Macaca mulatta: one gene and its partner. The protein of the gene in region 1 interacts with the protein of each later gene in a biochemical or structural test. Links are inferred from orthologs where the notes say so. Each region holds a gene or a part of one and is shown in the gene's direction. Other genes may lie near its edges.

Region 1 (3,500 bases):
CACCTTCAGCCCCAGCTGATCTTTGCCATGTTAAAATACTGCTCATATCATCTGATTGTTTTCTGATTTTAAAGGAAAGCTACAAGTCTAGGTTTGTAATGTAAAATCTCTTGCTTTTGAAAGATTGGCAGCTAATTAAAACATTTTTTAAAACATAGAAGGCCTATAAAACATGGTTGCAGGTTTCTAGTTTATTCTCTATGGCCTGTAAGATGTCAGTAATATGACAAGTTTAATAACCCATATACCGGAATTGGTAGACCAAAGTATTTGCCATATGCAGCTACCTGCTTATTGCAGTGAAGGGCACCGACAATGTAATGACCATCTCTTGTCCTCAGTTAGTTACACATGTTTTTTGGACTGTCTTTAAAGGGAACAGTAACACTTCATTTTTTTAAACATGATTTTAATCTGAAAATAACGTTCAGCAAGAGTTTACTCCTTGCTTAGGTATTGAGCAGACTTTACATGAATGATGTTTTTTAATCTTTAAAACAATTCATTGAAATAATGCTGTTTGTGCACAAAGAGGGCATGTAGCTTAAGGTTACATAGTTAGCACATGGTAGAATCCAAGCAGCCTTACTTTAGAAGTAAACATGCTATAGAGCCTTCTGAAAACAGTCGTTCAGAGCTGTGGAAAATAAGTAGTCAAGCAGAATAATACAGCTTTGTTTTCTTTTAAGAAAAAAGAAAAATAAATAAAGGAATGACTAGAATGATGAGTTGTTTGTTGTTTTCGAAGAGTTTTGTTGTTTGTATTTTGGTTTAACAGTCTTGTTTTGAAGCTTGTTACTAACTAGGAATTCCAAAAATGTTTTAAGCAGTGGAAACATCATTGGAATAAGTTAATAGTACTCAAGATGATGACTTTGAATAGGAAAACACTCATTTGGAAGTGTAAATTCAGATGGGTTATGTTAGAAAATTGGTTTTGTTACTGCATAATTAAGACTTCTTGGGCCGGGCACAGTGGCTTATGCCGGTAATCCCAGCACTTTGGGAGGCCGAGGTGGGCAGATAGTCTGAGGTCGGGAGTTCAAGACCGGCCTGATCAACATGGAGGAACCCCATCTCTACTGAAAATACAAAATTAGCCAAGCGTGGTGGTGCATACCTGTAATCCCAGCTACTGAGGAAGGCTGAGGCAGTAGAATCGCTTGAACTTGGGAGGTGGAGGTTACAGTGAGCCAAGATTGTGTGATTACACTCTAGCCTGGGGAAAAAGCAAAACTCCATCTCAAAAAAAGAAAAAAAAGATTTCTTTTCTCTTTTGTCTTTTATTTAGTTCTTTAACCATGCAACGTCTTCTAAGTGACAGAAATGGGAAGGCTACTAGATGATTTGAAGATTTATCTTTTAATACAATTGTTTACTTTTCCTCTCCCATTTTATAAACTCATAGAATAAATGAAATGATAATTCTTTTTTCGTTTTTCTGTCCTAAGTGTTTCCTTCTCTCTTTGAACCCTAGGGAATAGTTCTAAAACAGGCAGGCTTTATTGGCTCATTCATCTTGATTCCTTGCAGAGCAGAGCAGGTGTTCCCTAGAGGCAAGTGCTTTGTCTTCTTCTATGCAGAATATCTCTGGAATACCATCCTCTTAGCAAGTGCTCAGATAACCTTAGTTGATAGCAGTTAAAACCATTAACATTTTTAAGATTATGTTTTGTCACAGCCTTACTCTTAGGAAACCAAGAAAATAATTACATTTTGAAAGTTTTATTTTGGAGGTCGTTATACTTCCATAGATTTGGTATATTTTATGATTTGAAATACATTTAAATAAGTATAGGAAAACATGAACTGATTTTCCTTTTAGTAAATTAGGGATTTTTGTCTAGCATAGTTGGTTAAACTTATATTTTTGTATTAAGTTTACTTGTCAAAATATTTGGCTGTTTTGACAGATGGGTTTGTTTAGCTTTACAGATACTGTGATACGGATCAGAAACCGACACAATGATGTCATTCCCACAATGGCCCAGGGTGTGATTGAATACAAGGAGAGCTTTGGGGTGGATCCTGTCACCAGCCAGAATGTTCAGTACTTTTTGGATCGATTCTACATGAGTCGCATTTCAATTAGAATGTTACTCAATCAGCACTGTAAGTGTCCTGAGTCAAGAGAAGCAGCTAAATGAGATGTGGTGGCATATTTTAAATGTATTTAGGAAACTTCCATTTAGGTAGAAAATTTAGTTTTACCTTTTGGCTAATTAAGAGAAGTAAATAGACTGCCATCAAGAAAGGTATTTTTATTGAATGTAAAATACTGTGTTTATCCTAAAGGCAAATATTTGTTCTACTGTTTGGTACAATTTAAACACTATTCAGATTTGGAAAAGAGCATTAGGTAGTTTAGCTTATTTTGTTGGTTTTGTCTTTTTGGATAGCTTTATTGTTTGGGGGAAAAGGCAAAGGAAGTCCGTCTCATCGAAAACACATTGGAAGCATAAATCCAAACTGCAATGTAGTTGAAGTTATTAAAGGTAAATACTGACATTTCTCTTTACAAAAAAGATACAAAAATCAAAGTTACTGTTATTTCTTACTATTAAACAACTATTTGTATCATGAGATAAAATGGTAGGCACCAATGCATGGGTTTGAAAATAACCTTATAGTATTATTTGTGCATTATTTATAGGATGACTATTTTATTGATAGAATTATAGATAGGCAAAGTTTGGTGATACTATAGAGGATATCTTTTTTGTTTTGTTTTGTTTGAGACAGAGTCTCATTCTGTTGCCCAGGCTGGAGTGCAGTGCTGCGATCTCAGCTCACTGTAGCCTCTGCCTCCTGAGTTCAAGCGATTGTCTTGCCTCAGCCTCCCCAGTAGCTGGAGTTACAGATGCTCAACACTACGCCTGGCTAATTTTTGTATCTTTAGTGCAGATAGGGTATTACCATGTTGGCCAGGCTGGTCTGGAACTCCTGCCTGCCTCGGCCTCCTGAAGAGCTGGGATTACAGGCGTGAGCCACTGAACCCAGCTGAGGGTATCTTTCACTTAAAAAAGATTTCAAGTCCCTGCTCCCCTGTTTCTAATTCCTTGCACTATGAGCAGTAATTCGTAACAGGTTGGTTTGAATCCTTTCACGCTTTCTTCTATTTATACCACTTGTACACATACACAATTGATATTGGCCTTACATTGTTGTTTTTAGAAAATGGGGTGCTCTGTGATTTTTCTACAAGTTTGCAGACATCTTGCTGTTCAGTACATCTGGATATACCCCAAGATTTTGAATGGCTGTATGGAATGTATCAGTATGTATTAATTAATTCTCCTGTTGGCGTACATTTAGGTTGTTTTAATTTTTTTGTTACCACCAATACCAGCAGTTCTGCTGTGAACATCCTTAAATACATGCTTACTTTTGCTAGTATTTTAGAGGGTAAGATTCCTAGAATTAAAAACATTTAAATGCATATAAAATTTTGGTATCTCTAAAAAGGTATCAAACAGTGGATAAGAGTATTTCCTAACCAA
Region 2 (3,500 bases), on another chromosome or scaffold:
AGGATTATAGGCGTGAGCCACTGTGCCTGGCTGAAGCCAGTATTTTAGAATTAAAAAGTAGAATGCCAAAACCTGCTATGAAGCTTAGGCTAAAGAATTCATTCACACATAACATTGCCAGTTTTCTGTACCTGTTCTCAGAGTTTTACTATTTTAAAACTTTCTGGCACTGTGATCACCTGTACTGTATATAATTTGGAGAGAAAGGATTAGTTTGTTTTTTGTTTTGTGGGCTTATGTCAAGGGTTATAGAATCAAATACCTATAAGGGCCAGCCAGGTAGAATAAATGAGTGAAGAAGGCTAGGTATACAAAACAGAATGGTGACAGGGACTCGTGCTGAACTGGGACCAGCATGCCCTACCCAGAGGAATGCCATGACTTGGTTCCAGCCAGTTGGTGCCATGTGGAAATCAGGGGTAATGCTTCCTGTTTTCCATGTCTCCAAGAGAAGGCGGAAGTCTGGATTTTCATGTGAAATTCCCCAGTGTTTTAATGTTGACATCTGATGTAGGATTTGCTTTTAGGTCATCATACAGGAGAAAGGAAGGAAGTGGCCCATGTGTGGGTTGCCAGTTTATTGCTTCTGGCTTGGGCCGTCCGCTCTGTATTTTGGTGGAAAATAGCTACTTTCTCTGGTTATTAATGACAGGTTCTACTAGCCCAAATATTTCACTACGGTCTAGGAAACGTTTTTATTTAGAAACATGTATCGTATTGCTTCATAGTTTCTCCTTCCTCTAACAGGAAGCTTGCTGTGTGGGCCTGGAAGCCGGCATCAACCCCACAGACCATCTCATAACAGCCTACCGGGCTCATGGCTTTACCTTCACCCGGGGCCTTTCCGTCCGAGAAATTCTCGCAGAGCTTACAGGTTTGCTGTTGATTTACAGAAAGGGGAAATGAGTGGATTAAGTTTTTAAATATCTCTCATTAAGATGCTATTTTATGAGTTAATATTTAAAGTTTTAAGTTTCTTTTTTTAACCCTCTCTCCTTTGGTGCTCTGGTACTTCTGTTGTGCTCTTGAGTTAACTGACCATTTGTGAAGTTCTCTGGCCCCTCAGGTAAAAGTTTAAAACAGGTTAGTGCTATAAAATCACAATAGGTTTGGTTATCATTCAAGCATGCCAGCAGAAGTCTAGCAGTCATAAAAAAGTAAGTTGGGTTGAAGCTTGGTATGCGATGTAAATTCTAGAAATCTTCTTAATATTCCCCTTTTCTTTGTCCCCCTTGACTATTTTTTTGTTTTGGTTTTTTGTTTTGTTTTGTTTTGTTTTTTTTGAGACTATGTCTCACTCTGTTGTCCAGGCTGGAATGCAGTGGTGTGATATCAGCTCACTGCAACTGCCACCTCCCAGGTTCAAGCAATTCTCATGCCTTAGCCTCCCAGGTAGCTGGGACTACAGGCATGCACCACCACACCCGGCTAATTTTTGTATTTTTAGTAGAGATGGGGTTTCACCATGTTGGCCAGGCTGGTCTCCAACTCCTGACCTCAGGTGATCTATCTGCCTCGGCCTCCCAAAGTGTGCTGGGATTACAAGCATGAGCCACCACGCCTGGCCTGTTTTGTGTTTTTGAGACAGTCTTGCTTTGTTGCCCAGGCTAGAGTGCAGTGGCCTGCCTCAGCCTCCCAAAATACTAGGATTACAGGTGTGGGCCACTGTGCCCAGCCCTTCTTCTTCTTTTTTTTTTTTTGTTTTGAAGACAGAGTTTCGTTCTTTTGCCCAGGCTGGAGTGGCTGGAGTGAAGTGGTGTGATTTTGGCTCACTGCAACCTCCATCCCCCAGGTTCAAGCAATTCTCCTGTCTCAGCCTCCCGAGTAGCTAGGATTATAGGTGCCAAACCACCACAGCTGGCTAATTTTTGTATTTTTAGTAGAGACCAGGTTTCAGCATGTTGGCCAGGCTGGTCTCGAACTCTTGACCTCAGGTGATCTACCCACTTCGACCTCCCAAAGTGTTAGGATTACAGGCGTGAGCCACTGCACCCGGCCCTCCTGGACTCTTGAACTATGGTTGTCCCTCCATATATCCAGGGGATTGGTTCTAGGACCCTTGAATATACCAAAATCCTCAAATACTCAAGTCCTGAAGTCAGCCTTCCATATCTTCGGGTTTGCATCCTGAGAATATTGTATTTTCAATCCATGTGTGGCTGAAAAAAAAAAATCTGTATAAGTTTACCCGTGCAGTTCAAACCCTGTTCAAGGATTGAATATATTTAGTGTACTAGTAGAGGAGAGGTCCTAAGATGTTGGTAACTGGTCAAAAAACCAAAAAAGTCTAGGGTACCATCTGGACTTTTGCTAACATCTGAAGGAAACTAAGTGACTGGAGAGTAGGAAAAGCTGGAAAGGTTGAAGCACATGGAACTAGTAAAAGGACAAGCAGAAACGTGTTTGCCTGGAGAGACAGGTACTTAGATGACTGAATTGGCCTCTGCGTTCTAATGGTTGAGCCACTTGGGGTGTGGTTTGGTTTGCTTTGTAGAGTTGGTTTGTGCTGCACATGTGTATGTTCTGCCATTTCCAGGACGAAAAGGAGGTTGTGCTAAAGGGAAAGGAGGATCGATGCACATGTATGCCAAGAACTTCTACGGGGGCAATGGCATCGTGGGAGCGCAGGTAGTCAAGGACGAGGACTGTGTGCTGCTTTAGATTTGGCCCTGGCCTTTGTCTTCAAAAACTTTCCCAGCCCCAGACAACTTTTCGTGAAGTAGTATAGCCATGTGCTGCACAGTGACACTTTGGTCAATGTCGCATATATGATGGTGGACCCATAAACTTATAATAGAGCTGAAAAATTGCTGTCACCTAGTGATGTTGTAGTGGCACAACACATTACCTTTTCTATGTTTAGGTACGCAAATATTTTGCCTACAGGATTCAGTACAGTCACATGCTGTGCAGCGTTGTAGCCTAGGAGCAGTAGGCTCTACCATACAGCCTAGGTGTGCAGTAGGCTGTACCTTCTAGGTTTGTGCATTACAGTATGGTGTTCACACGACAAAATAGCTTAGTGATGCAATTCTGAGAATATATCCCTGTTGTTAAGCGATGCGTGACTGTATTTTGGGGGCTTGGTTTGCTTTTAAAGACCTAGTGCTTCATATCCTACCATTTGAGCGATGAGTTGAGTAGATTTGGATGGTGATTTATAATGTTTCCTTTTAGGTGTCTGCTATTTTATAAGTAAGCAAGAGCCTCTAGCAGTGGAGCCTACCTTCCCCTTCCTATTTGTATTTCAGTACATTGCCTTATCTTGTCAACTTCATTATGGAGTCCTTGTTCTCATCAGTTAGTGGATGATGAAGAATTAACAGCACAAAATTATATCCCAACTGTTTCTCTTCCTAATATATTAAGATTCTATTATGTGTTTTTTTAAAAAACCTACTTTTTTTTTCCCCCTTTTTTCTTTTGAAATGGAGTCTTGCTAAGCCGCCCAGGCTGGAGCAGTGGTGTGATCTCAGCTCACCGCACCTCCACCCCCGGGT

Evidence for each region.
Region 2: the proteins of PDK1 (region 1) and PDHA1 form a complex in vitro, tested with the Homo sapiens proteins (2 studies listed by BioGRID, with this or other methods). The link is inferred for Macaca mulatta from reciprocal best matches to the Homo sapiens genes PDK1 and PDHA1.

What each region holds. Positions count from the first base shown.
Region 1 is NC_133417.1:77,481,674-77,485,173, forward strand, and holds part of PDK1 (pyruvate dehydrogenase (acetyl-transferring) kinase isozyme 1, mitochondrial), read left to right. Parts: intron 1-1,927; coding exon 1,928-2,112; intron 2,113-2,399; coding exon 2,400-2,495; intron 2,496-3,500. UniProt on the Homo sapiens protein: Kinase that plays a key role in regulation of glucose and fatty acid metabolism and homeostasis via phosphorylation of the pyruvate dehydrogenase subunits PDHA1 and PDHA2.
Region 2 is NC_133426.1:19,087,383-19,090,882, forward strand, and holds part of PDHA1 (pyruvate dehydrogenase E1 component subunit alpha, somatic form, mitochondrial), read left to right. Parts: intron 1-747; coding exon 748-874; intron 875-2,536; coding exon 2,537-2,628; intron 2,629-3,500. UniProt on the Homo sapiens protein: The pyruvate dehydrogenase complex catalyzes the overall conversion of pyruvate to acetyl-CoA and CO(2), and thereby links the glycolytic pathway to the tricarboxylic cycle.